Canis lupus familiaris: one gene and its partners. The protein of the gene in region 2 binds, or shares a complex with, the protein of the main gene of each other region. Links are inferred from orthologs where the notes say so. Each region holds a gene or a part of one and is shown on either strand. Other genes may lie near its edges. The genes, in order: MED8, MED4, MED23, MED13, MED20, MED24 and MED31.

What was found.
Region 1: MED4 (region 2) and MED8 share a complex: the UniProt entries of both Homo sapiens proteins name them as parts of the mediator complex. The link is inferred for Canis lupus familiaris from reciprocal best matches to the Homo sapiens genes MED4 and MED8.
Region 3: MED4 (region 2) and MED23 share a complex: the UniProt entries of both Homo sapiens proteins name them as parts of the mediator complex. The link is inferred for Canis lupus familiaris from reciprocal best matches to the Homo sapiens genes MED4 and MED23.
Region 4: MED4 (region 2) and MED13 share a complex: the UniProt entries of both Homo sapiens proteins name them as parts of the mediator complex. The link is inferred for Canis lupus familiaris from reciprocal best matches to the Homo sapiens genes MED4 and MED13.
Region 5: MED4 (region 2) and MED20 share a complex: the UniProt entries of both Homo sapiens proteins name them as parts of the mediator complex. The link is inferred for Canis lupus familiaris from reciprocal best matches to the Homo sapiens genes MED4 and MED20.
Region 6: MED4 (region 2) and MED24 share a complex: the UniProt entries of both Homo sapiens proteins name them as parts of the mediator complex. The link is inferred for Canis lupus familiaris from reciprocal best matches to the Homo sapiens genes MED4 and MED24.
Region 7: the proteins of MED4 (region 2) and MED31 are in contact, whole or in part, in a cryo-EM structure (PDB 8TRH), measured with the Homo sapiens proteins. The link is inferred for Canis lupus familiaris from reciprocal best matches to the Homo sapiens genes MED4 and MED31. Residues at the interface, in NP_054885.1 of Homo sapiens: Glu147, Tyr151, Arg154, Ile155, Asn159, Ala160, Val161, Cys162, Ala163, Pro164, Trp167, Arg173, Arg174, Pro175, Tyr176, Pro177, Met182, Leu186; in NP_057144.1 of Homo sapiens: Gln19, Glu23, Gln26, Cys27, Ala29, Asn30, Pro31, Ala64, Lys65, Tyr66, Leu67, Lys68, Tyr69, Pro70, Gln71, Asp98, Ile102, Trp105, Gln106, Tyr108, Ser109.

What each region holds. Positions count from the first base shown.
Region 1 is NC_049236.1:16,884,981-16,888,845, reverse strand, and holds the end of MED8 (mediator of RNA polymerase II transcription subunit 8), read right to left. Parts: intron 3,832-3,865; coding exon 3,687-3,831; intron 3,165-3,686; coding exon 3,024-3,164; intron 2,828-3,023; coding exon 2,746-2,827; intron 2,384-2,745; coding exon 2,135-2,383; intron 1,299-2,134; coding exon 1,234-1,298; 3' UTR 969-1,233; downstream 1-968. UniProt on the Homo sapiens protein: Component of the Mediator complex, a coactivator involved in the regulated transcription of nearly all RNA polymerase II-dependent genes.
Region 2 is NC_049243.1:3,373,057-3,376,430, reverse strand, and holds part of MED4 (mediator of RNA polymerase II transcription subunit 4), read right to left. Parts: intron 2,570-3,374; coding exon 2,483-2,569; intron 1,234-2,482; coding exon 1,102-1,233; intron 911-1,101; exon of another isoform or gene 1-910. UniProt on the Homo sapiens protein: Component of the Mediator complex, a coactivator involved in the regulated transcription of nearly all RNA polymerase II-dependent genes.
Region 3 is NC_049233.1:378,712-383,099, reverse strand, and holds the end of MED23 (mediator of RNA polymerase II transcription subunit 23), read right to left. Parts: intron 4,187-4,388; coding exon 4,055-4,186; intron 1,810-4,054; coding exon 1,642-1,809; 3' UTR 467-1,641; downstream 1-466. UniProt on the Homo sapiens protein: Required for transcriptional activation subsequent to the assembly of the pre-initiation complex. Component of the Mediator complex, a coactivator involved in the regulated transcription of nearly all RNA polymerase II-dependent genes.
Region 4 is NC_049230.1:34,697,924-34,702,311, reverse strand, and holds part of MED13 (mediator of RNA polymerase II transcription subunit 13), read right to left. Parts: coding exon 4,289-4,388; intron 2,761-4,288; coding exon 2,587-2,760; intron 1,127-2,586; exon of another isoform or gene 1,052-1,126; intron 1-1,051. UniProt on the Homo sapiens protein: Component of the Mediator complex, a coactivator involved in the regulated transcription of nearly all RNA polymerase II-dependent genes.
Region 5 is NC_049233.1:10,766,042-10,770,978, forward strand, and holds the start of MED20 (mediator of RNA polymerase II transcription subunit 20), read right to left. Parts: upstream 3,429-4,937; 5' UTR 3,290-3,428; coding exon 3,276-3,289; intron 522-3,275; coding exon 367-521; intron 1-366. Other genes in the region: BYSL (bystin), read left to right, coding at 3,846-4,113. UniProt on the Homo sapiens protein: Component of the Mediator complex, a coactivator involved in the regulated transcription of nearly all RNA polymerase II-dependent genes.
Region 6 is NC_049230.1:22,463,943-22,468,330, reverse strand, and holds part of MED24 (mediator of RNA polymerase II transcription subunit 24), read right to left. Parts: coding exon 4,317-4,388; intron 4,173-4,316; coding exon 4,116-4,172; intron 2,669-4,115; coding exon 2,557-2,668; intron 2,427-2,556; coding exon 2,276-2,426; intron 1,972-2,275; coding exon 1,858-1,971; intron 1,314-1,857; coding exon 1,266-1,313; intron 877-1,265; coding exon 794-876; intron 525-793; coding exon 438-524; intron 1-437. UniProt on the Homo sapiens protein: Component of the Mediator complex, a coactivator involved in the regulated transcription of nearly all RNA polymerase II-dependent genes.
Region 7 is NC_049226.1:30,898,343-30,901,483, reverse strand, and holds the end of MED31 (mediator of RNA polymerase II transcription subunit 31), read right to left. Parts: intron 1,558-3,141; coding exon 1,365-1,557; 3' UTR 1,121-1,364; downstream 1-1,120. UniProt on the Homo sapiens protein: Component of the Mediator complex, a coactivator involved in the regulated transcription of nearly all RNA polymerase II-dependent genes.

The DNA of each region.
Region 1 (3,865 bases), on a different chromosome or scaffold from region 2:
CAGCTGGAAGGTATGGGCAGGCTCTCTGCATACCTCTTGGGATTTTTAGATCAAAGCTAATCAAAGCTAAGAAGACATTTTATGGGGAACAAATTGGAACCACCTTGCAGCAACTCTGAAAGTTCTGACACAGGGCCTCTGACCCCTAGAGAGCTCCCTCGTAAATCACTGTCGGCTAACATGGACCCCGTGGCCATCAATTTAAAGGACTTCAGAGAAACCCTTTGGTCTTCTCCGGACTCAAACCCTGCCCCTGCCTGCAAAGGAGCACCAAGAAAGGGGGATTAGGTTGCAGACCCAACTCACTCTGCTCTTCAGCTTTATGTAAAGCATGCAGAGGTCCTGAGGGCTGTCCCCACCCACCAGCAATCTGGCTCTCTCATTTGAGCCACAGTTTTAGTGGACTGGAGGAAAGCCATCCTGGCCCGAGTCCAGGAACCAGGAGCTATTATGAGAGCAATGAAACCCAGAAGAAAGACGGTGTGAAGCGTGATTCCCCTCTCCCTCTAAAATAAGAAAAATGAGTCCAGGGAGAAGGGGCTTCATGTGCTAACAAAGCCCCTTTCTCACACAGTCCTACCTGGTAGAGCCACTTCCTGGGAACCCCACACCTACTAGACCTTCAGCATCTTCTTGGATGTGTATAAGATAGGGTGAAGGAGAGGGGAGGGCAGGCCCACGCTTCACCAGAGCTGTGGGTGGACCCTCTGACCCAGCCCAGAAGCCCCGTTGCCGGCAGCCTGGAGAGATGGCCCTGATGGAACCTGGGCAGGGGGGGCCTGTGGAGCCGACATGCCTCTAAAGACATACACAGGCTGTGACAGTTTCCGGCACCATAAAATATGGACAGGCTTCCAAACAGAACAGAGTGGTCCATGATCTTGTGTCCGTCAGCTCACCGCTGACACGAAGGAGTATCAGATCCCGCTGGGTTCTGGATCCAGGACTGAGGAGGGCAGTGGGAGAAGTGGCTGTAGAAACTATCATTTATTGAATGCTCATTATTTCATAGGCTGTACTGTTTTACATTCATTTTCTCATTTCAGTCCTCACAACAACCCTATGAGGTAGGTATCACCATTTACAAAGAAAACAGGCTCGGAAAAATCAGGTCACTTGCCCAAGGTCACTCAGCTCGTCTGTGGTGCAGCTGGAACCTGTCTGGCGCTGAAAGCCCATGTTCTCTTTATTGTACCCATCTAGTCCAGCTTTGGGAAAAGTTGCCGGCCACACTCACCGCTGGTAGGGATGCATTGAAGCAGACTTGATGTTGGTTTTTATTCCACTTGGCATTTTCCCTAAAAGGAATATGAAGAAAGACACCTGAAGCACCTTAAGACTTTCATGATAAATCAGAGAGGTGGTCTCCCAGGCTCCCTTCTGCCACCCTTTCGCTCTTTCAGCTCAGAACCTCTGTGGCCTCTGACCCCGGGTAGCAAAGATTAGAGGTGTGGGTCCTGACCAGCCCTCTCCCGGAAGGTATCTGGAAAAAAAGGACTGATAGTAGGAGGGGTCAGAACACACCCCAGCAAGTCTCGTGCTCAGCTACTTCCGGAAAAGACAGCTAGACCCCATTTACTGTCACAGGCGAAAGACTGTTCTCTCTTACTGTAACTGCTCCATTTCCTGGAGGGCTTTGGATAAAAACAAAAAAACCAAAACAAAACACAAAACACCTCTTCTAGCTACGCACATCTGAACTCCTCCAGACTGTTCTCATAACTATTAACAGTAGATCAGAGAGATTGAATACAAAGAAAAGAGTACACATAACTTGCTTGTCTTTCAATCCCAGCATCCCTACTGAGTGGTCTTAACTGAGGCCCACCCACTGGTCTAAGACCCCAACAGCACACTCAGTGTCCAGAGTAAATGGGACAAGAAGGTAGTTGACACAGAGCTCTAAGATGGGGCTGGGAGGTGCAGTTCCTGCTGCTCGAAGTTCTTCCTTTCGCTGGTACCTGCTACAGAGTCTCAAAAGAGTTTTTTTACTCTTAAAAATTGATTTCTGGGTCACAGTCCAAGGAGGATAGGAGAAAATCTCCAACTCTGGGATACTGGGGGCCCAGACAATCCAGCTTATCCCTATTTCCTTGCTTTGAGTCTGCTACCATGTCATCCTCCGCCACCTTACCTGTTTGACCTGCCTGGGCCATCTGCACCCCACTGAGCAGTGGTTGCTGTTGGCTCGGAGCTCCTGCCATCTGTACTTGCTGTAATCCTGAGGCTCCAGCAAGGATCGGCCCAGCTCCTGGCTGGCCGGGCTGGCCAGGACCACTACTACCGGAAGGCCTCCAATTAGACAGCCCCTTCCCAAAGGCCACAGCTGCTACTAAGGCATTGGTGTCTGCGGGGTTAAAGGTCTGCTTGTTTGGCCGGAGACCTGAAGAAAAAGGGGAAGTGAGGAGCTTGCGATGCGCCTCTGACCCTGGACTAAACCTGGCAGCAGGAAGACCAGCCCCAGGAGCCTCAGGGCTTCAGCAGCATCCACACTCACCAGCAGCCCAGAGAAAGAGACCCCAAGAGACCCCCACAACTATCTCAGAATTATCCCTTCTCATTTTGCCCCTTTCCTCTGCCTGCTCCAGGGCTGGCCTTCAGTATAAACGGCAAACAGAATGGACACATCCCTCTCCTAAGCAGTTGTCTTCTATCCTCACTTCACCACCACCCAAACCACCAGTCTTAGTCCAGTCATCTTCTCCTCCTTTCCCTCTTCCATTTTTGCCACCAATCCTTCCATACCTCCACTCTCAGATTCCCGTTCCTCTTTGCTGATTTTCTCCAGAAGGTTTGAGCACATTTTATTCAAGCTCTGGATCTGCTTCTGTAACACACATACATTTGTGCAGAGATCAGAGCAGACAGGAAATACTTGTGATGAGGGCTGTTCCTTGTGCTCTTCCAGGGGCAACTTTTATATAATCAACTGCGCACCCCTACCAGACACCAACAGTACTGCCCAGCTTCTCATGAAGGGCCCCAGGGGAGGGGGGAGCAGCAGGGCAGTGACTTGGTCCAACCTGAGCTGCGTCGGCACCGATGCGAGCAGCATCTGTTGTGAGCTGCTTCTCTTGCTCTTCGACCTCAGGGTCAGGCTTGGTTCTCAGGTGGTCAGGGACCACCTCGTGGCTGAAAACAGGCACTCGTCCTTCAGTCTGCCGCTGTAACACACAGATGTTACTGATCCTCCCATGCAATCCAAGACAATTCAATCTGGCTTGCTACACAGCTCCTTCCACTGGCAAATGGTACATTTTTGGGGAAAACACAGCCTGACACTTACAGTATCTGGCTTCCTAGAACACTGTTGCTCTTACTCCCTGCTTCATTTCTATCTGCTCACACCTCTATTTCTACCAGACCTAGAGGCAAGTTTCTCTTTGCTACATTTTAATAAAATACCAAAACAGACAAAAATCACAAAAGAACACACTTTTTCCTCAAGATAGATATTGGAGGAGAAAGGTCTTTGCCTTGGGCACAGAGGCCTCAGGTTTATTTGGCACTACTTGGAAGTAGCTCCCCAATTCCAGAAGGAAAAAAAGGCCTCAATAAAGCAGCCCTTGCTTTCTATTACCACACACTACACATTCAGAACTTCTAAAATTACCAAGCAACAATTGTGCCCTAAGCCCTCATCTAAGAATTTAATTTCCCATGTTATGCCCTTCTTCTCTTCTTACCATGAGATCTTCATCACGGTCTGGAGACAGCACCAGGGGGATGATGACCTGGTTGCGGAACAGCGGTGTCTTTTCATGCTTCAAGACCTTGTTCAAAGTGTTCAACTGTCCAGAGAGCAAGGCGAAGCTGTCCAGGACAGACGGCCTGGTAGTGGTAAGAAGGTGTCACAATGTTCTCA
Region 2 (3,374 bases):
AAAACGTTTCTCCTTTGCCAGCAGCCACCATGTTAATCTTCGTCAGCAGAGGGCACTGGAGGGACTGTGCAAGGGGACCAGGCCTAGGGATCTGTATGTAGTTTTCCTTCTCAGGCCTGTGGTGCCGGCTGCGCAGGGACATCAAGCACCTCAAGCGGTGTTCACTCCCTTGCAAGTTTCAGGGGCATTGAAGTCTCACCCTCACCCTCAAGGCGGCTTCCCAGCCGGGCTCCCAGGAACCTGAAGGCTGGTGGATGGATCCCTGCCTGCCGGCTGCAGCCTGGGAACACCCCCTCCAGCCTCTCTGCCATCCAGTGGGCCACAGATGCTTCCCGCATCTGTTAGTGCTCTATTTTTTAAAAACAGCTCTCTTTACCCTTTAGTAGTCAGTACCAAATTTTCTTTAAATTTTCCTTGTTCATATTACTATGTGGTTTCTGCCTCCTGACTGGCCTGTGACTGGCAGGATATGGAATAACCCAAATGAGAAAAAGGCAAAGATATCAAAGGAAACTAATGCACAGTGAGCTCTCAGTTTGTCCTTTAAGCAGTTTTAAAAAACTTTTTAAATGTTCTACCAAATCAAAACAAGTCACCTACAGAAGATAAAAGGTGGGAAACAAAATAAATGTAATAACGCAAAACTACATGTAAAACTTGAGGAAGGCTGAAATTCAAAACAGCCCAAGTCTCACAGAAGTGCTATTTAGTTATTCAAAAGTAAAAAGTTGTTACTCGTTTTGTTAACTTGGGAGTTTTTCAAGAGTGATTTCACTTTGTATTCTTTAAAATGAACATTTATATTTCTTATTCTGTTGGTACAGTATATTTCACAATTTTATTTAAAAAGCTGTTTAGATTTTAATAATTAAAGGCCTAATGCCAAGGCAAATAAACTATCAATAAATGACAGAGAAATCAATTTGTTCTAATTTCATAAACTCCAACTAGAACAGTTTTTGATCTACAGAGCAGGATAACTGGCAAAAAACCTAGCTATTAAAACGAGTTGGGTCTAGACTCTCAAACTTGTTCAACAGCCAGACAGTCATGTCTTAAAAACTTTGGTGTGTTTGAAAACCCCATTCTGATTAGTATTACCTGGCAATCTGCCTGCTGCAAGTGCATCCCCTGGTAAATGACCATTTACACCATTCGTGGAAGGATTGTTCATTTGACCCAATAATCCACTTCTCATCTCTAAATCAGTTGGGTATGGTCTCCGTGGGTCCCCTAAAAAAAGACTGCTTTTAATTGAATCTTATGCAAAATAAGCAGCAATACCTTCTCTGAAGTATTGATTTTCCTTGGTTCTCTTTGAAAAACTCAGAAATATATTTTCAATTTTCATACAGGAAGGTCATCTTATCAATTGTGATTAAGAGCATAATATATTAAATTTAAAAATACATGCATTTCTTCTCTGAATCTGCACAGAAATATACTATTCTCCATACAAAAAAAAAAAAGTGTCATTTTAGCAATTCTAGATGACAAATTAAGAAAATAATAATGATCTTGAGTCTTCTAAGTTACCCACATTTCCTAGTAAGAACAAATGATACATACTCTGAAGGAGAATAAATATATGGTGTTTTGTTTTTTTTGTTTTTTTTTTTACAAGACAGAAAGGACTGCTTATTTGAAGGACTACCTAAATTAAAACTTTTTCTAATCAACCTCTTTGATCTTGTCATTTAGAGATTAATTCCTAGAACTTTCCAGTGGAGGTTTATCAGGAGCTTTCATTTCTAATCATGATAGTTTTGGGATAATGAAAACTTGGCAGATTTGGACCAACTTTTTAGTAATATTTCTTACTCCAGATCACTCACCTCCAAAACTGCAGTTAATCTTAGTGTTTTTAGTATGGTGAAATGCCACCATCATGAGATTCTGATGCTGAGATACTCTCCCACTCCTCCCAGAAGATTACTGCTCTACCGCAGGTCCCTGTCTTATAAATGTTTTATGTGCTGTCAATGTATGTTGTAGTTTGTTACCCCTTTTTGTTGTTTCTAATTATTCCAGCTCTTTCCAGTCCCATGTGTTTGTTTGTGAGCACTCAGTGCTTCACTGTATCACTGAAGATCTGGGACTGTCTCGTTTCCAAGGCCAGAACCCTTGACGAAATCCCAATGGTTCTAAGAAGTGGGCTTCTGGCCAGCCTGGGTATTACAGACATATAAATCTACAGCTTAGAATCATTACATATCATCTCGTACTTTTAAACATCAATTTATGATTTTTCTTTAAAAAGGACAAAAACACAGTCTCTATAGCAAAAGCTTTGCAGAAAACCAAACTGATAAACCCATAACCCAAATTATTACTTGTAAGATATTAAAGATATGAAAATATACGGAGGATGTTTCTAAGGATAAATATATCCTATATTTAAATCTTTTTTCCTATTTTTAAGTATAGTTACCTAAGAATTTTCAAAACCATATATACCTAATAAAAAGAGAAGTGTTTTTACCTGGAACCCAGGTCAGTGGAGCACACACAGCATTACTTGCACTTATTCTATGTGCATATTTAATTATTTCTTCAGAGGAGATGGCACCTGAGTCAAGAAGAGAGAGTAACATGTTAGTCTAGTAACTTACAAGTCACTTACTAAATTTTAAATTACCTGAAAATAGGATAATCCGAGTTACCTACCTTCCCTAATAAAAACTAATATGTATATTGTTAAATCATATAAGATTTCCCAACTAAAGAACAAGACATCTAGAAAATACAGCTGATAAAGCATCATATTTGGGACATTAGCATGATAATGCCCACTGACCTTGATTTCTAACTACCATTAAACATTCCTACTGTTCTGAAAGCAACAGTGAACACAAATAAGACACAGGAAAGGGTGTTTTGTCTTGCATTAACAGCTTAGCTATTAAAGCAGCAGCTCATACTACACCACTCAATTGTGACTTAACGTGACCCTAAGGAAAGAAGTAGACCCAAGTAGAAACATGTCCACAATATACTCATTAGATTTAAAAACTAAGCTGCTCGATGCCTGGGTGGCTCAGTTGGTTAAACATTTGCCTTTGGTTCAGGTCGTGATCCCAGGGCCCTGTGATGGTGTCTCACACTGGGCTCCCTGCTCAGTGGGTCTGCTTCTCCTTCTACCCCTCCCCATTCCTTGTGCTCTCTCCCCCCACTCAAAAAAAATCTTAAAAAAAAAAAAAAAAAAAGTAAGCTGCTAAATAATACATACAGCATGACCTGGTTTTTGTTTTAGAATATATGTATATATATGTATTTGCATTAAACACCTAAAAAATGGACACACACTAAACATTAACAGTGGTTATCTGAAATAGGAAAAGAGGAGGAAAGTTAGATAACTCTGAGGTGATTAT
Region 3 (4,388 bases), on a different chromosome or scaffold from region 2:
TGTGGGTATAATATCAGCGTCACAATTATTTCCATTCTACGATCTCAAGACATATTCTTCAAGACAGTGAGAACATACTGAAACTATGTTAAAAGCAATACTTGAATTCATTTCTAGCTTAAAATTTCTGGAGAATTTTAAGGATATTATTAACCTAGAAAAATTATTTATACAATTAAAGAAATTTTAAGCTGGACTTACATGGCAAATAAAGATTTAATGATTAGAAAAATATGAACCACAAGGAATATAAAGGTCTAAGAGGAATGTATTTGGAAATAAAGATCTGAAGTATGGTTTGTCAAACTTCTCTGATTCTTTATAAAAAAAAAAAAACAACAAAAAGCAGTAACTCTTAATTCCTAGGCCAATGTCAGTCACCAACTATAGTGCACAACCCATAGAAACAGCCCAGTTCTCTGTTGTAACCCAGTCAGCATACTGCCTGGAACACAGCAGACACTTGTTCAGACTGAATAAATAATCAAACCGTTTATTTATCCAACAGATTTTACTGATTATTTTTCAAGTCTTTTACAATCTTAATGCCATTCTCTCTCTGCCCAAATTAACAGTTTGTCTTTCAAAATCTGATAAACCCTAAAGAACCAAAAACTATGCTATATTTAAAAATACAAATACTTAAAAATTTTAAGATTTTTTATAAAAATTTAAAGAATCGCATCATAGGCCAGGTCAAAGTGTCAAACTTGGAAAGCAATTAATTTGTTTTAAATAACAGAGATTGGAGAATCACCATTTAAGCATGATTTTATTAAGTGTATGCATTTCTATGTTATTTATTTTTTAAAGATTTTATTTATTTATTTATTCATGAGAGACAGAAAGAGAGAGAGAGGCAGAGACACAGGCAGAGGGAGAAGCAGGCTCCACGCAGAGAGCTTGATGTGGGACTCGATCCTGGGACCCCACGGTCACGCCCTGAACCAAAGGCAGATGCTCAACCACTGAGCCACCCAGGTGTCCCTCTATGTTATTTTCTTACATGGCTTCCAACTCATTTCATACAATAAGTTCAAGTCCACAGCAAAGGCAACTAACTTGCCAATCTACGTTGATAGAACCATTAACCCATTTATTTGGAAGCCTATGGTAAAAATTTTAAGCCATTTTTAAAAGAATATGCAACTGTGTTTGGTCCTGAGATGCAATGAAATCTAGAGGCCTTCACTTGACAAAAAAAAAATCTCTTATCCCAAACATACACCAAAAGAGACTTATGTATAAAATCATTTGAGAACTCTTTTCCAATATATTTGAACACTGAAGTCATTAACAATAAAAATTAAAAATAAAACCAGTGGCTAGAATAAGAAAGACTGGAAGTATCTAATGAAACTCATTTGACCACAGATACCCTCCGTATTACTAGGTAGCACTAACAGTTATAGATATGGCCAACATGTAGCTTACTTGATCTCTTAGAGACAAAAATATAGATAGAGAGGTGGGAGTCATAAAGTATCAGTAGATTCATCGTTTGAATCAAAATAAGACAATCTGAACATCACTGCTTCTACTACACCACTATGTAGCCTGATTATGTTCAGATTTAATAGATTAGAGTCCATTTTCAAAGACAAATGTATTTCCATTGTCAACACCGTACATGAGAGGACTTCACTGAGTTACTGGTAATGACACTGGCACCTGATTAGACTGAGGAGCTGGAGACCCACTATTTATGGCTTGTGGAGGCACTGCAGGTGGTTCCATCTTGCTAATGTGTGTGATGAATCGAAGACGAAGTTTTAAAGCTGGTTTTAAATTACAAATAATCTTCTCTACCTAAGAAATAAACACATTAAAAAGTATTTTAACCAGAGAATTTCAACCTCCCACCCTTAAAAAAGTGCTTTATACACATATGGAGGCAATAAACTAGGGAGTGGATGAGAAGTTTCTTTATGTGTTTTATGTTTTAACAAAAGCAAATAAAATCATTTCTCTCTTACATGAGGAAAAAAATTGTGTTCTCCCTCAAACACATTATGTATGTGCATATGAGTATGTACATATAGTCTATATATGTATCAACTTACAAAAACATACTCACTTACCTAGCCAGCCAGTCATCCCACTGTGAAAAGTTAATATAGCTTACACTAGAAATTAAAAAAAAATTTTTTTTAAATTTTATTTATGATAGTCATACAGAGAGAGAGAGAGGCAGAGACACAGGCAGAGGGAGAAGCAGGTTCCATGCACCAGGAGCCCGATGTGGGTGGGACTCGATCCTGAGTCTCCAGGATCGTGCCCTGGGCCAAAGGCAGGAGTCAAACCGCTGTGCCACCCAGGGATCCCCTACACTAGAAATTTTATGCATCCAACCAGCTCACCATCCTTTTCTTTTTCAAATATATATTTTTAAGATTTATCTATTTAGGGATGCCTGCATGGCTCAGCAATTGAGCATCTGCCTTTTGGCTCAGGTCGTGATCCTGAGATCTGAGGATCGAGTCCCACATCGGGCTCCCTGCATGGAGCCTGTTTCTCCCTCTGCCTATGTCTTTGCCTCTCTCTGCGTCTCTCATGAATAAATAAATAAATCTCTCTAAAAAAAAAAAAAGATATTTATTTATTTATTTACTTGTGAGAGAGAGCGAGCAAGTATAAGTGGGAGGGGCAGAGGGAGAGGAAGAATCTCAAGCAGACTCCGAGTTGAGCACGGAGCCTGACACAGGTCTCCATCTCATGACTGCAAGATCACAACCTAAGCTGAAACCAAGAGTCAGACACTTAACCAACTATACCACCCAGGCCCCCAGTTCACCACCCTTTTCAAATGCCATCATCACAGAAGCATGATTAAACTTTGAAGTTATATGAATAACTTATATCTGTAACATTTATCTATAAATTAATGTTTTGGTTTTGATTTATACTTGGAATTCAAACAAAATAATATTAGATCTACTTTTACTTAAAATATTTTAAAGAAATAAAAAACATCAAGCAGTTCCATGGTTTTCTTAGCTTTATTCAAATGTTCTTTGACCTTACCAGAAGAGATTGCCCAATAATTTTTCTTTTCTGTATTCCCTGTGTCAAAGTTTCTCAGGTCCAGATATAAAAGATATGCTAAATAAAACATTTCTGTATTGGTTCCCACTCAACTGTGACAATCTTGCTGAGGCAATAAGGGAGTCAATATCCTCCCCACCCCATGTCCCTAGCTCCAAGTCAAGAATCCAGTAGACTAGGATTCATAGGTTTAAATATCAGTTTACCTTCCTTTCCTACCAGAGAAAAAATTAACGTTAAGCTATGGAGGGGAGGTCATTTCACCTACCTGACCTACCTCTTCCCTCTGAAAGAGCCAAGCTTCTGTTTCCTATAGATAGGAAACTCAGTTATGATTCAAGGACATCCTTTCCATTTTCAGATCACTTTACTAGGAACTGGCTCTTTACATGCTGAGCAGAATGTGCCTCCCTTTAACTTTACTGGAGTTTATACGCCTTTTGAAGTGACACAGAACAAATCTAATGCCTATTCTGAATGGCAACCTTCCAAATAATGAGAACACGAACAATTCCCTAGGACTTTGAAAATTCAATCTAAGTACCTCCAGTTCCTTCAAATACCCTTTATGAATTATTCCCTTGATCTTCCTGGCTTCAGTCTTCAAGTCATGCTGCAATCTGTCCAATGTCCTCATAGTGCATACCCTAGTCACTGTGGCGAAAAGTAGAATCTCCTTCACTCATTACACAGCACCTCTCTGGTCTTTAAAAAGTAGCCATTCTGTATTGTTTCTTCCTAATGAGAGTACTATTTATCAACTACCTAGGTCTTTTCCAGATGTCCTGTTGCAAATATCAAGGGGAAAAGTATGAGAAATTATAACATGTATTCACTATTACTGGAATTACATATGTAGAATAATGTGCTCATAGCCTTAAAAAGGTCTGATAATATTAACCTTTTCCCCTTAAAAGAAAAAACATAACAAAAATACTCAAACAAAAGTATATCAACATATGTTCAAGTTTTCTAAAGTAAACATCATTAAAAGATAAAGTTAACTTACTTGTTCTTTTACGCTGTCACCAGTAAACATATACTTCATATGATATAGGAAGTCACAGATGGGATCCATGTAATTTAAGTGGGTGCTACACTGGTCTACATTCAGTAACATGTCATAAAATGCCACGCCAATCTATTTAACAAATAATATAAAATTATTTAAGTGGGCAAAAATGGTTCAATAATTTAGAATGATGCAGCTGGACTCCATTATAAGACTAACACAGAAAGACAGCACATTTGTTGAAGAATTGTCACTGATCATACAAACCTCTATGTGCATGGGATATATGATATGGTCTGCATCTTTTTTAAGATTTATCTATTTCTTTGAC
Region 4 (4,388 bases), on a different chromosome or scaffold from region 2:
ACAGGTAATCAGTCAGCCAAATGGAAAAGTTGTTGGTTTTACCTTATTTTCCCACGGTCTCGTCCTTGATGAAATACATTTTAGACCTATGTGATGAATGGGCACCACTATAAAGATGCTTCTTGTTCTTGCTTACAGAAGTAATTTTCAAGTGCATAGCTTATATTCAATCTTACTTTATTTTCTTTAGCTCTATTTTTAAGATCACATAATAATCCTAAAAGAATTTACATAAAAGTCATTTAAAGTTATCTACTTTTTCAGTGTAACATGCCTAGATGTGTCAATGTTTAAGGAAGCACTAAGCTGATAAACCTCAAGAGTCTGTCTACAGGTTACACAACTTTAGACTATGCACATCCACATAGGTCTAGCACTGAAAAATGTAACAGGAGTAAGCATATGCAAATATAATGCTTACAAAAGCTATACATTTTAAAGCTACCTGTGGTGGAACGGTGAGGACTCTAATGCAGTGCATAGAGTGCCTTCTTTTGCCCATGCAATTTCATAATGGAGGCTTAGTGACAACTGCCACACCCATTCTGGTATGACAATGAAGAGTGGAAGAAAGGAATTTCAATTAAAGTGAATCATTTTTTGTTTACGGAGTCATTATATATAAAGTGCTAAAAAAAACTATGAGAGATGGAGAAACTCTTAGCAGATCTCATTCCATATACTGTAAAAGGTACTATTTTATATTTAGGTGATCTCTCCTCTACAACTGTAACATGTATATAAATTCTTGTGTTATATATTCAAGGATATAATCAAAGATATATATTTTTTAACTGCCCATAAACTCTTAATTTATAAGTTATAAGCAAAAGTCTCGGCAGATCACTACAAATTAAATGAATATAGTCAGGACCAGAAATCACCATTTAATTTCTATGATAAAAAGATCTTTTAATCATCTAGGTAAAAATCTATTATTTTTCCAAGTAAACAGAAACACATCAGGTGGTATTTTTGCCTATGGTGTAGGAAATAAGATGGAATGTATGAAAACAAAAGGTGAACAAAATTATGGTAAATTATGCCTTACCTGGTAATTCAGACCAGAAGTCCTAATCTTGTTACACTGTATCTGAGGGTGAATGCCCACTTTACACTATCCTCTCTGCAAATAAATATTGAGTAGAAAAGAATCTGGATAGTCCCTTGGACTTTTTGTAAAGTGGTGTTTCCTAAAAAAATGTTCCGTGAAACACTAAGGTCATGAACTATTAATTGGTGTTACACAATCGCTTTCTTGTGTATTAAAGTAAGTTTGGGAAATAGGTATACAATGGTATTTGCTGCTGTTTTTCAGAGGCTTTAATGTGCATACATGTATTTTAACAACAAAAGGGGGTAGAAAGCATGTGCAACACTTCCCAAAGGACCAAAGAACCCTTTGTTTTGTAGAAACACCAAGGACTACTATTTTGCAGAAACACACTTGGGAATATGTTCTTGTAATGAGGTCTGTATAGACCACTGTACATATATTGGAAGGGGAAGAAAAATCTTATGATAAAACTTTATTACCTTGGCTGACACTTCCTAATATATTATCACATCAATAGTCAATTCAGATCAACAGCTGTTGTATTCTTTATGAATGTGCTACAGAAGTTCAATGCTTAGTCTCAAATGTCACTGACTCAATGATATGTGGGCTAAGGGTATCAAGATTTAATAGCAACAGGCTTAAAAGAGAGCAAGCCTATTGGTTCAAGTACCCACGAAAATATAACCCCAAGAAACTAAACCACAGTATCCGACTTTACCCTATAGTAAAAATCAGTTGGCAAGAAGTTAGGTTACCCTGACTTCTGGAATACAATAGTCAACTTCTGTGCGTATATATAAAAATAAATGAATCAGATCTGAATTTCCTATTTTGGAATAGTAGTAAGAAGCAGCAGTAACAAACTAACAAACTCTGGATAGGACTTTCACATTTCATTTTACGATTTTATAATGTATTTCAACCTTGATATGTCACTTGCTAATGAACTTGTTTTGATAAATAAGTCACTATGGATCTGAGAATCTCAGTACTTGAAAACCACTTAATAGTTTTACACAGCAATTTACACAAAGCTAGAAAAAAAATTTAAGGAGGTAGTAAATGGACCTATTATCAAATATTCTTACAAAACTATGAATCCTTTAAACCCAAAATACTGTGACATAATAGCAGTAGGATGTAATTCAAAGAACAGCACAATCATGAAAGGATCCAGACTGCAGTCCTGAGTCTACTACCCATTTATGACTTTGGAAAAATGAGTTTTTCTGAACTTTAACATGCTCACCTAGAAAATGAAAAAGGTTAGATTAAAAGTAATACAAGTTTCACCCAGCGCTAAATTTCCATATGTGCAGCTGCAAATAATAAGAACAAATGTCCCAGAAATATGTCCAAACTTAGTATCAATTTAAAAAGTAGAGCTGTTTTGTAATTAGAGAACTTCTTTGTGACTTTGTCATATTTCACAGTGCATTTAATAAGACCTTAGACACTTCTCGATATTTCTTAGGAATTAAGCATCAATTAGCATTATTTAGGAACTGGCATAGAAATGGAAATACCTTAAGAAAAAGGGGACACTGATATTGTGCTTGAGGACATGCTGACCAGAACCAGTCAGGTAACGGACCCGCTTTGGCAGTTGATACAAAGTAACCGAGGGCCAATGGTTGCTGAAGAATATTAGTTACTTCATCATGAGATTCTGTTGAAAGTAGCCGATCAGTACCCTGACCCTTAAATAGAATTAAAAGTGTGTTAGTTCATTTGATATACCTAGGCACTCGATACACAGAATGGTTTATGGCAACCAATCTCTTTTTATCAATTTAAAAAAATATTAAAGGATACTGAAAAAATCAATTGCTATGTACTTAGTAAGACCATAATTAGTAACAATATTAAAAGAGTTTTAAGGGTTGTATGAGGAAATTAACATACCAACTGTTTAACAAGTTGGTAGTATTATGCTGAGTCATGTTCAGTGTGTTCCAACCAAATGTTTAATGAAATTTCAACTTATTTCCTAATACTCCCTCAACTAATTCCTGACCACCACACCTCAATCCAAAAGATAATTTAAATTTCACTTTGTTCATCTAATACTATAAAATGTAGTTATTAGCGTTTGGAAAGCATTATGGCAATGTGAAGGGACATCTAGTAAGTGATGCTCATATCCTTTAGATTAGTCCATGTAGTTCTTGGTATTTATGTTAAGGAAATAGATAAAAAGAAGCAAAATGATATGCATGGAAAAGTTCATTGCAACATTACCTATAACAGATAAAAATAAAATATTTAAAGGTCCAATATTTTGGGACATAACAAATTATGGGAAAACAACATTAAAAAGCTGATTATACTTATTTATACATATTGAGAGCTGCAATATAAATATACGTGAAAGGAAGGTAATTTGCTAAAAGTAAAAATGGTTTTATTAAAGTAGTGAGATTAGTGGTGCATATATATAGCTTTTCAATAATCTAATTTTCCAAGATTTTTTTATTTTTATGTAATCTCTACACCCAATGTGGAACTCAAACTTAAAACCCCGAAATCAAGAGTTGCATACTTTACTGACTGAGCCAGCTAGGTACCCCAATAATTTCACTTCATTTCAGTTAAAAAAAAAAAAGGAAGAAAAGGATACAAGGTAAAACTGGACAAAGATCCTCCCTTATTTTAAAGACAGGCTTCTAAACATATGCATGCTATAACAATCAAATAATCACTATATATAGTTTCACCCAAATAAAGATGTAATTCAAATCAAGCCCAGTTAGTTTTGAGTTCAAATAGAAGGACAAGACAGCCTGCTTCCCAAATACTAAAAATTAAGACAGAGGGAAGGAAAGTGGTCAGCATTTCTTCTGTTCTTATGAGAAAAATCAGTATTTCTATTGTGTTCCTCCTCACAACTCTGATAATGAATGGCAGCTCTTAGAGCATACACTAATTCTCAGATAATCTGATCCTATACCTGATCAGAAGCTACAGTAAAGTGGCAGGAAAACTACAAAAGGAGGACTAAAGCCAAGTAATCTAGAAAACAGCAAGTCAAGGACAGTAGAAACTTAGAGACCCTCTTTATAATGCATAATTCAAAATACTAACATCTGTAAGACAGATGTGCAAGAATGCACCATTAATCTCACTTCTTGCTCATTTCCAAGGAAAAAACAGTATTTCATTTCTCTATCCATTACACGAAGTTAATGAACAACGTTTAGATTAACTAAGCTTTTATAACAGGGTTACCTTGCCAGCATCACCTCCATGGGGGTAATGAGATCCTGGAGAATGTACGGGAGACCCCGTTGGAGATGCAGGAAGAATATTAATAATATCAGGGTCAAGA
Region 5 (4,937 bases), on a different chromosome or scaffold from region 2:
AAGTTGATTCAATGGTCAAGGTCATGTCAATGAGGTATCTAAGGCTGCTGGCTAGGTGTGGGAATCAGACTTCCTGCAGAAAGTTCTAAAAACTCTAATGTTATGAAAGAATCATACACTTCTGAGCCTACAAGGAGCCTCTCCCAAACTTAAGAGTGCATGAAAAGATCACCAAGGGAGTTGGTTGAAGTATAATTATGAAGCCTGTAGCACCAGTCAAAGGATCAGGATTTAATGGATTCGGAAACATCTGCCACATGTTCAAGAATGCCACGCTTAGGAAATGAGCATAAAGATTTCAATGAATATGAATGTCAATCAACTGCAAGTGAGGGTCCAGTCACCCTGCAGACCCATCTCACAGACCTTGGCTGCCAAGAGTGGAGGCAGCTGTATGGTAGGTTTCACAATCCACACAAAATGTTCCTTGCTTCTCTGCCCCAAGCATCTCCAATTTCCGAGTAAGGAGCTCCACCGTCTGCTGGACACTCTTGCCCTCGGCCACAGGCATCTGGGATACACTGAAAGGGAAAAGACCAAATCATAAGTATTCAGAGGCATATGCACACTCATTGAGCCAATCATTCACACACAGAATCACAGCTCCTCAGGGCCAGGAGTTATCTTAGAGACCATGTATCCTGAACGTCTCTCTCATTTTAAAGATGAGGAAATAAGAGGCTCACAGTTCCTAACAGCTCCACTAAGAACTAGAACACAGGTCTCAGGACACTCCTACCAACTTAGTGAACTTCCTATCACAGCAGCATTTTCCAACCAGGACACGTGTGCCAACATTCAAGCAGTTTTAGGTGGCACACAGAGTAATCCATAACACTGATGTCCTTTGCAATTCCTTCAGTTCTGCCTAAATTAGGAAAATCTGTTTGAGGTTAGTATGTTTTTACCAATTCTCTAACATTTTGAAGGTGTGTTGTCCAGTACAGTAGCCACAAACCACATGTGGCTATTTACACTTAAACTAATAAAACAAGTTAAATTAAAACTTCAACTGCTCAGCTGCACTACCCCATTTCAAAGGCTCAATAGCCACATGTGACCAGAGGCTAGTATATTGGACAGTGATGTTATGGAACATTTCCGCCAATATGGAAAATTCTATTCAACAGCCCTAGGATCAAAGAGAAAGCAAGCCTCAAGTCTGTAATCTTTAGGAGTCAGAGGCAACGATATGTACAAAAATAAAATCAAAACAATGAGATAAAAATGTTATTTCCAAGATTCCTTCTATGGTAAGTGAAACCGACCTCCCCTTAAGAGTAGTAGGTAACGGGCAGCCCGGGTGGCTCGGCAGTTTAGCACTGCCTTCAACCCGAGACCTGATCCGGACACCTGGGATCGAGTCCCGAGTCGGGCTCCCTACATGGAGCCTGCTTCTCCCTCTGTGTCTCTGCCTCTCTCTCTCTCTCTCTCTCTTTCTCTGTCTCTCATGAATAAATAAAATCTTAAAAAAAAAAAATAGTAGTAGGTAACAATCATTAAGCACCAACCACGTGCCAGGCAGTGTCCAAAAGGCCTTTAGACAAATAAACTATTTGGATCCTCACAACGGCCCTAGAAGATGACTATTATTTATCTCCTTGTAATAAGTAAGGAAACTGAAGAACAAAGAGGTTGAGTAACTTGCACAAAGTCACATAGCTTGGTGTGGTATAGCCAAGATTCAAAGCCAGGCATGCTGGTTCCATGTCTGTGTTCTTATTCACTATACTAGATTGCTTCCCTAAACAAGTAGTTGCCGGTTAAAATGCTTCTAAGAAAACTAAACAGATTCAAAAAAAAAAAAATTCATAAATACTTCAGGTGGTACACTTAACTAAACAAAAACCATACATATTACTGAATTCTCAAAGACATTACTTTATGATCAATCAACCACAGAGGGAGGGAGGAAAGGAGGGACTACTGCTGTTGCTAAAAATTGTCCCTACTCTCCATCAGAAGATGAACTCAGAAGCAATGGATAACGTGCCTTTACTGACAAACATAAGAGAATATCTAAACTGACGTTACACGGGTCCGAAATACCAGGAGTGTGATATACTTGCTAAGGGTCCCAACAGACTGAGGGCCCATTCCATCTTTCTGTCTTCTGCTGAAAGAACAGGGGCTTTCAGGTTCCAAGCCTCTATGCTGCAAGCTTTTCCTTCCAACCCTCATACACTCCCTTACACTAGAAAACTTAGAAAAGGCTTAAAATATCCATTGCAGAAAACACAGGTGCAGTAACCGACAAGCCTACAAGAACCTGAGCTATCAGAAAGACTAGCTCCAGGGATCCCTGGGTGGTGCAGCAGTTTAGCGCCTGCCTTTGGCCCAGGGTGCAATCCTGGAGACCCAGGATCGAATCCCACGTCGGGCTCCCCGCATGGAGCCTGCTTCTCCCTCTGCCTATGTCTCTCTGCCTCTCTCTGCCTCTCTCTCTCTCTCTCTCTCTGTGTGTGTGTGTGACTATCATAAATAAATTAAAATTTTTTTTTAAAAAAAGAGTGGTTCCCACAGGCTCCAGCCCTAACTAGAAACGTGCTAATACTTACCGGTACTCAAAACAAAACAATCCCTAAAATCTAGCATTTTCTCCAAGAGCATTAGGCCCATACCTTTCTCTGCCACCCCACTTATATCATGTTGAGAGATTAAAAGTCCATAGTAATTAGTTACACCAACCATACAATTAAACATAGTAGGAAACGAATTCTGAAGAGGTGACGTGCCTAAACCCCAATCTACCTCCCAACAGCTGCTGCTGCTTATTTTTTTTTTTTTTTTCCCTCTAGACCGAAAATCTTAAGACGGCCGCACCAGAACCAGACACGGGCCGGTCTAACTGCATTAAGTGGCTGTAGGGAGGGGCAGGAGAAAATCTTTAAAAAAAGACGGTTTCCTCGTTGCCTATCCTTTACCTCCTCTAGCTACGCCTGTAGATTGGGTCCTAGTTCGGGCATCCTTAATTTCCACCTCGGGCAGCCCTATGGCCTCCTGGGAAGGAGGAACACAACCACTGATGGGCTCCTGGGACAAAACCTTTCACCTGCCGCCTTTCAGGACGAAGGGAAGTGTCTCCGAGCAAACAAGCGCGGAGAATCTGCAGCCCTCGCAGCGTCTCCATCACCCACACGTTCCGAAGATATCTTATCTTCATCAGCTCATGGGGGACCGCGGTCCCTGGTCCCGGCCCTCCTCCCGGTACACTCCGGGCTCCGGGGCCCTTCCCGACCCCGAGCGCCGCCCAAAAAAGTCCCCTGCGGGCCTACCAAGTCACTCCCATGGTATCGGGCCAGGAGGATGGCAGGAACAAACAATCGGATCACAGTAGTCTCTGGCCGCCCACACTAAGTGAAGACCCCTAACGAAAGCTTCGGCCGAGGGAGGTGCTCCGGAAATGACGCAAAAGGAGAGCGTCCAGTCGACGCGCCCACGAGGAACAGGGGCAGGTCTAGGCATCTCCTCGGTGACGCCTCCAGTGACGTCACTACCCAACTCTGGCCCCGGCTTTGCAGCTAGGCAAGTCCACGTTTGGCTGGGAACAGAGGTCCTCGATCTATGAAAGTAGAAAACCACCGCTCGGACTGCCACCACTTGCAGAAGCCAGCGTTAGAAGCAGTGAGTTCATTCGGGGACCGGCTGGCTCCAGGCCCCGCTCTTACGGGGTGTGGCGGCGCTGATGGCCTTCCCGGCCTCCGGACGCCGGGAGGCGCTGTGAGCTCCGCGGGGGCCTCTTGGGAGCTGGGACTTCACGGCGCAAGTGCGCTCAAGGCTTTTTTTTTTTTTTTTCCTCGTCTGTACCCCACGTGTAAACCTTTCTGGCAGAGTTCTGGAAAAAAATGCCCAAATTCAAGCCGGCTCGCGGAGCTGCAGGCCAGGAAAAACATGCGCCGCTGGCTGAGCAAATCCTGGCTGGGGACGCGGCGCGGGCAGGGCCCCGGGAGAAGCGGCGGGGTCGTGGGACCAGAGAGGAGGACGAAGAGTATGTGGGGCCCCGGCTGACCCGACGGATTTTGCAGCAAGCGCGGCAGCAACAGGAGGAACTCGAGACCGAGCATGGGACTGGGAACAAGGCCGCAGCCCCGCGCGAGCGCACCACGCGTCTGGGTAAGTGGGGGAGGGGGGTGCCAGGAAGAGGGTGGTTAGTTTTGGAGGGAGGGGGAAGTAGATAGACGGCCAAAAGGTTCTGCCAGGGGAATCCTTTGGAATAAAAAAAGTGAAATTGAATAAGGAGTCCGCATCACACCCTTGCAAAGGTGATGAAATGGGAGACCCAGCCCTGGAATAGATTCAGGGTGGTCAGAGCTCTCTATGCCCACTTGTTGCTTTAGATGCTTGCGTCTAGGCAGTCTCTAAGTTAGACCAACAAGAAGTTAATTGGTCACACTATTGAGCACTCCTAACGTTTATCCATCTGTTCTGTACATTCTTGTAGGTTGTCTAGTCCGTACTTTGCACTGTGCTAGGTAGGAGTTTAGATGGTTTTGAGTAAAAAAGGAAGCAAGATAGCCATGACCCTGACTTCAAGATCTTACAGTCTAACCTGAGAGACAATTAAATTGACGATTCGAATAATACATTTCATGATGAAAGTATAGTTTTGGGACACCTGGGTGTCTCAGTGGTTGAGCATCTGCCTTGGGCTCTGGGCAGGATCGCGGGGTCCTGGGATGGAGTCCCGCGTCGGGATCCCAGCGGGGAGCCTGCTTCTCCCTCTGCCTATGCCTCTGCCTCTCTCTGTGTGTTTCTTGTAAATAAATAAATGAAAATCTTTTTTTTTTTTTTTAAGTATAGTTTCATCTTAAAACAAGAGCATTAGTTTTGGGGGTCAGGGTTCCTAGGTTACATGACTTTGGTGCTGAAAACTAGTGGAGAGAGAGCTCTAAGCAGAATGAACGATATTGTTTAGGTGCTATAAAGAGGGAGAGAGA
Region 6 (4,388 bases), on a different chromosome or scaffold from region 2:
CCATAAGCCATTGGCCAAGAGAAGGGAAAAGAAAGAAGTTCCTGATGTGCTCCCTGGTCCAGCGCCAGAAGCAGAGGCCCAGAGAAGGTGGGGAGCATAGAAAAACCTCTGCGGTTGGGGTGATGTTCATGCATGCATGTCCACTGGTGTGACTGCTTCAGTTTGTCACTGATCATTACCTCAACTCTGAAAGTTCACTTGAGATTAAAGGAAGATTTAGGATTTTTATTGTGTTCACAGAGGGTGAGAATTCAAGTGCAGCACCCAAGGGTGCAGAAGCCTAGTGCACAGAAACCCGTGTCTGCCACTCCTGGTAAGCCTAGGCATGGCCCCAGGCACCTGCACGGGAAGGGGAGAGGCACCCAGCAGTCCAGCCTGGACAGGAGGAAAGGGGGGCAAGTGGCACGTCAGCCAGGCCGGGGGGAACTCATGCTTACCGCTTGGCCAGAAGGTTGGTCACACTGGCTTCGGACAGAAGCCCCTGCTTGCTACATTCTTGGAGGAGGAATTTTGTACAGTCACAGCTGTGAGGGAAAAAGATCATGAGGGGCCTGGGCACACAGCAGGGATGACTGAGGGATGGGGACAGTAGGCCTCTGCCTCGTTTCCTCCCTCCTTCAGGATGGCAGATGGGCTCTGGCACCCAGCAACTACGGGGCTGGGGCCTCCTGCCCCTGCTCAGGGGTACGAACCAGGTGACAGTCCCCTGAGATTGGCCTGGCACAAAGGAGCTGGGGAAGAGCCAGAACACCTTCTAGAAGGTAGAGCAGGGGTGAGCTAGGGGAGTTCGTACTTGCAGCGCTGGTCAGCTTTGTCCAGCAAGGGTGTGAGCTTCAGCAGGAACTCAAAAGCACAACTGACATCCTCGGTAAAGTCCTACAAAGAGCCAGAAGCTGCCATCTGCCTTCTGGGTCCTCTACTCCACCCATAGCTTGTGATGCAGGTTTACGAGGACACCCCATTGGACATAAACACCAAAAAGTTGGCCATGCCCACCACTGGCTTCCAGTGACATGACAGGGAGGAGTGTAGAGGACCAATCTCTACACTGGCCCTGGTCACCTCTGCATCTCGTGTGGCCTGGCCACCTCTATCTGGAGAATGGGCATGCACACAAGCATGCGCACTTACCTTTCCAGCCTGCCCCCAGGTGCAAGAATGCAAGACTGACCCCTCCCTTGCCCATTTCTCCTTTGCCCTTGTGGAAACAAGGATTCACGAATTCCCATGACCACCTTTCCCCTAATCTCATTTCTTCAACTTACCTTGTCCCCATGACAGTATTTCTTTAACTTCACCAAAACCTGTGGAATCTAGAGAGTGAGGCAAGAGAAAAACATGAAGATCAATTTCTTCTCTCTTTCCCCCAGAACTAAAGGCATCCCTTCCATCTCCTTGTTCTGAACAGACGCAGGATCCCTTCCACCTTGGAAATGAAAGTACTCTTAGGGCCAAATTAGAAAATTGGCAGGCATCTAAGTGCTTAGTGCCCAATGCCTACAGGACACAGAGACCCCTCACTTCTGCTGTCTCCACAAGGAATTGCCATAAGCAAAGGGAATCCTGATTCAAGGACCGGGGCCACTGCTCTGGCTCCTATAACTGCCCCGCGCCAATCTTGCTGATGACTGAGCTAAACGGCACCTGTGTGCTAAGAGATGGCACACGCCTGCCAAGTAGGCTAAATATAGCCCCAGGACTTTCAGAGAAAAGACTCGATGGGAACTTGCACCGGAGGACCTGGCAAGCTGCAGCCAACACCAGCAGGGAGAAATGCTGGACAAAGATCCTAGGTGTTGCTGCTTTTCCTGAGAACCATTTCTAGACTTGGCTCTGTTGCTCCCATGTGCCAGGTACCTTAAGGAAGGTGAATGCTGTCCACTTGAGCTCCTCCGTACCCTCGGGAGACTCGATGAGCCCCACAAAGCAAGCTTTCCAGATTTCCAGGACAAAAAGTGGGGTGGGAATATGCTGTAGGATGATCCGAAAGTGAAGACTAAGAGGGTGTCCATCCCCCTTCATCTTCTGAAGGTCCCAGGGTTTGGGGGGATGGTAGGGGCCGGTCAGGCAAGCTCAGAGACTGTGCAGGACAGGTGCTTCACCACTCCAATGTGAGAACAGGTGAAATGGCACCACCGTGCACGACAGGGATCTGATTGCCACCATGGGATCAGGAGAAATCCCCTTCCTCCCAAGAAGTACCAGAAGAATCCTCCCCACTGCCCCAAGTGGCCAGGCCACCATGTTGATGGAGAAGCAGCCCTGGGCCCCCCACCTGCATGCGCTTCACCATCATCAACTGTTCCACCAGGGGCTGGGTCTCGCCTGTCAGGTTCATGGTGCCCTCGAGCAGGACCACGGCATGAACTGTGGGGTAGCCGGTCTTGTGCAGCTGCTCCGAGTGTACAGCCAGCATTGTGGGGATGCTGAAGGGAACGGGTACACAGCGAGGGGGCAGGTGAGAGCAGGTGAGTGGAGGCCAGGAGCCACATCTCCCCACCCACACCCAGGGCCTTTCCTCTCTCCCTCCACCCCAATCAGCCTGGGGCCCAGTACCTCCTAATGAGCGTGCCACACTGCTCAGCCTGGCTCCGGAGCTGGGGGTTGCTGAGACTGGCCAGGATCTCCCCGAGCTTCAAGAGAGAATGCTCAATGGCAGTCCAGGAGGCTGGTGGAGAAAAGGACATGCAGACATACGATGGCAAACAGAGAGGAAGACACTGGCCCTGAGCTCCTCAACTGGCCTCTCTGGGCCCTCAAACACACACATGGAGGTTTCCCCTGAGGATGACATGGAGGCCAGGGGCCTGAGGGCAGCATGCACGGTTTCTAGAAGGGGGATGGGGAGGTGAGCACCAACAGTGAAGGCCCTAGAAACTATCCCCAGAGGCCTGCCTCCTAGGGTTGCACGTAGCTGACTTTAGAGCCTAACACAGATATGGCTTAACATGGGCAGTGGCAGGGAGAGGCACAGCGGGGCTGGAGTCCAGCAGCTAGAACAGGGAGGCAGCCACAAATCGCCTTAGAAGCAGCCAGCCTTGCAAGCGGCCACCACTATATAGGGCTAAGTTAGATTCCCAACCAGCCTCCCGGGTTCACCCCTGCCTTGCCCTGTTGAGGCCTCTGCTCTCACTGCCCTCCCTCTTTGCAGGTGCCCACACTCATCACCACCTCACAAACTCACTCTCCTCAAGCCTTTGTTCAAGCCCAGATCCTTCCTTCCACAACTCACCCAACTGGTCCAACCCACTGACCTCTCCTCCTAAATGCTTGTTTCACGGTCTATACCGAATTATTTTGCACTTAATTAAGAGTCACTTATCCTAGTTACAACTCCAGAGGGTCAAATGATGAATACTGGTACCAACTAGCCTGTTAACCTCCATGTGGCATGGGGAAAAAAACAAAAAGGTAAGACCTAAGATCCATTAAAATTAAGGTAAATATTCATTCACTTTTCAGCCACTAAAACCTTTGTCAAGGGCTCAAGATAGGTAAGACACTATCAACATAGTCCATTTTTATGGAGGGATCATCTCTCTGGACTTTTGACAGGTAACAAAACATACTTTAAGAAGTAACAAATATACAAATCCTATAATAAATTCTCCAAACAGGTCCTGAAGACCTGGGTGTAATCCATTCTAGCATTCTTGCTGCTGGAGAGTAAGAGAACCTTAGGTGGCCTCAAGCTACTACACGACTGTGGCCTTGGGCCCCATGTCCAGAAACACTAGAGTTTCCCCTCCTATCTGTCTCCTCTCAGACTCTGGAGAGTTCCAATATTTAACATCTGCACCTGAGTCAAGAGGTGTATGATACAACAGGCCTGATAGCAGACAGGTACCATGTTTAAAGGGACATGTTAGGCAACACTCAAACAACAAGAGGCATTTGTTTTCAGATGAGTAGTGTGGAGACAAACACAAGGATGGATGGTGTGCTTCTCTTGTCCTCTAATTTCTTCCATGTATATTACATACTGGTCTTGCTCCCCACTAGCATGTATGCTTTTTGAGGGCAGGGACCCTGCCACATGCTCCTTTGGTAGCCCCCCACCCCCCGCCCCCAGCACCTGGCACAGTGCTGGGCATACAATAATGCTCAGTAAATACCTGTTGGTTGATTGGCTCGGGTGCCACCCTGCCCAAGTCCCTGGGATGTATGCAATGCTTATGGGGAGAAAAAAAAGGAAGTGGGATGATTTCAGATCCTCCTGGAAAGAAGTGGGATGGCATCCTGCCTCTCCCCTCTCAATTAAAGAACCGGCTATGGGAACAGTGGCAGGTGGGGCTCAGGGGAACCAGGGGACATACAGGCCTCCTCTAGTTTGGCGATGTGGAGCAGGGCCCGGTTCTTGGTGCTGCTGAGGGTCTTCTCCAGGCGTA
Region 7 (3,141 bases), on a different chromosome or scaffold from region 2:
AATTGCACACTTGCTTTGAATTTATGTTAGCAATAAATAAATGATGTAAAAAAGTGATTTATGTCTAAAAAGTGCCATTAAGGGACGTCTGGGTGGCTCAGTTGGTTGAGCGTCTGCCTTCAGCTCAGGTCATGATCTCAGGGTCCTGGAAGCTCCACATCGGGCTCCCTGCTCAGCCTGGAGTCTGCTTCTCCCTCTGCCCTTCCCCCTGCTTGTGTTCTCTCTGTCAAATAAAATCTTTTTTAAGTGTTATTAAAATGCTCATAAACTCTCAATTTGCTTGTAATATATGGGAATCTTTAAGATGTAGGTAAGTCAAGTCTTCAAGGGTGACAGTAATAGCACAAGGGAATGGATTATGGAGGTGACAGAAATGTCTAAAAGTCTCTACCAGTACAGAAAACAAATTCCAAATCTCAAAAGGAGTTAGCATCTTTTACCATAAATGCTACAAATTTATAAAGAACTGTTACTCCTAAAGCATCTTCTTTGGCTCTAGAAAGTAGAACTGAACCTAACCAGTGGAGAGCAGAGCACACTTAATCCAGCCTCTACTCACTGCAGGCACTTTGCTTTTACTATGCTGGATGAGGTGGGTGGCAGAGAGAGCTTGGAGACTGTTATATAACCTCATGGTGGCAAGAGCCCCAATTCATGCATCAGTGACACTGATGAGCAGTTCTGAGCTGTGTAACCGCAGACAAGCCTGGTTCTGCAGGTGAACCGTGAACAAATGAAGCACATGCCACATAAATGTTAGCGGTTGGATGATCGCACATATTTGAGGCTTCTCCTCCTTATTCTAGTCCAAAGTCAAGAGTCCAATTAGAAGTTAGCCACTGATCTATCTCCCCACCATCAGTAGGTCAGTGACTGCCAACAACTGTTTCTTGAAGCCCTCTCGCACAGCAGTAACTCCTTCTTGCAGATCCTGCTCTCATTTAAGGAAATCACTGACTCTGTTCCTCTTATTCTGTAGACAAGGAGACAGGAAGGTCAGAGGCAGTGGACTTGCCCAGGCCCCACTGTATGTGGGGAACAGAGCTCGGCTCAGAATTCGGGACGTTTGGTGCCCCCCCCCCCCCACCTTACCCCATCCCTCACTGCATCCTTGGGCTGGTTTAAATCACCTAACGTTTGTTTTTATTCAGTTGGTTAGGTACTAGTAACTTACAAATTCACAAGGAAACCAAAGTAGAACAACGCTGGTTGACAGAAGTAATCTATTAACAAGAGAAAGTTATTTGGATGAAACAGTACACTAAAGCTTCTAGGTGCTACCCCCACCAAGGCAGCTAGAGAGTCTGTGTGTTCATGGTACAAAAGCAGCATGTACACGTCAGGACCGGGGTGGCCCCAGGGTTTCATTTTCCCGCCGCGTGATTCTGCTGCTGCTGCTCTGCCAGGGCTTGCTGAAGGCGCATCCGCTTCCGCGAGTAGTGCTGCCAATGCAGAATCTGCTGTTCGTCAATGAACTTGGCGCACTGAGCATTCACCAGCTCCTTGCGGAAGTGTTCATACTGAAGCAGCTCTAACATGTGCAGACACTGAGGGTACCTGGATTTAAGGGCATAAGTTAGTCATCCACGTGATCTGGTCAACAGCACCAAGCTGCAGTCCAGTCACTCACTCAAAGTGATCTTGGAACCAGCCGTTTCTAGAACATTGACTCAGGTCACTTCTCTTTCCCTGCTAATGCAGAGAAGCCAGGCAGCAAGAGCCAGCAAGATGCAAAATTTTCAAAAAGTAAAAAAACAAGTTCAGAAAGATTCAACAATCTGCCCAAGACCACACAATAACTGGTAGGCAGAATCCAGCTTTGAGGGCAAACCAAGCTACTCTATTCTAATGGCATCCAAGGTGAGGAAGATGAACACTCTATTTTAGTAATTATCTGTTTAATTGATAACTACTGGTTTTCCATCAATAGTGATAAAGACAACTTTTATTCAAAAGTGAGTCCATTTCACAAAGAACTATGTACGAACATTGTGTTCTAGAGTCCCATGAGGATAGAACAATTCTGGAATTACTTCACATACACTCTAAACCTGAGCAGCCAAGTAAGTGAATAATAAACCATAGATAACAAAAGCCAAGTTTCCGACTATGAGAAAAGGAGTTACCGGGAAAGGCGGGAGGCTAGGATGGACCTATGTTATGGAGCAGCAGTTGAAAACATCAGCATGATCGCTTTTCAAGATTAGAAGTAGACACAATAATACACACACACACACACACACACACACACACCTTCCAAAGATGGCCTAGAAACAAGGACCCTGTGGTACCAACAAGCACACTCAGCGCCCAGATCATACATTTCCAACAGCATCTTCCAGCGTTCAATGGGGGAAATGGCTGATTCCAGGGCTAAGGCATAAGATGAGCTGGGGACATTTATGTAGTACCAGAAAGCCAAGTACTCCAAACACTAAGGGCATATGTCCCAGGTACTCAGGAGCCAACCTGAAGGGGCTCCTACAGGCCAAATCTGCACCAAGAAAACACATGATTACAATCCAAGAGATAAATAGAATCCAAGAGCCCACACGGATATAACTTTTAAATAAACAGGGAATAAGAGAATGTTCCTTCCTTATGCCTGAACTACAACAAAAAAAGTAGAAAAAATTATAGAAAATCACAGTAAAAATCGTTCCATAGAGCAGTAAAAATTGTTCCATAGAGCCAAAATTAGGGGGTAGAAGGATGACGTGAAACAAAGTGTTTACATAGTCTCAAAAAATTTCCTCACAAGATACTTACTAAAAACAAAGGAAAACTAGTAACTTGACATGGAGAAACCTGGCAGCCACCACCTCAACCAAGGGATCAAAATTAACATCACAAGTAGTAGGTCAGGTTGACTTCCTAGGAACCCTGGTGGGATATACCAAGAAGCTTACAGTATCACTTTGGGGTCACAGGTATAAGGGAAATAGTACCAGGAAACTCAGGTTAAGACTAAGAAGACCCAGAGACAAAATGTCACCTAGAAGCCTAGACCGGGTACTGCCTCAGACACAGCACATTAATGAGACAGCCGACAAAATCAGAATGGGGGGACACATCGAGTCCCACCTCAGGCTCCCTGCATGGAACCTGCTTCTCCCTCTGCCTGTGTCTCTGCCTCTCTCT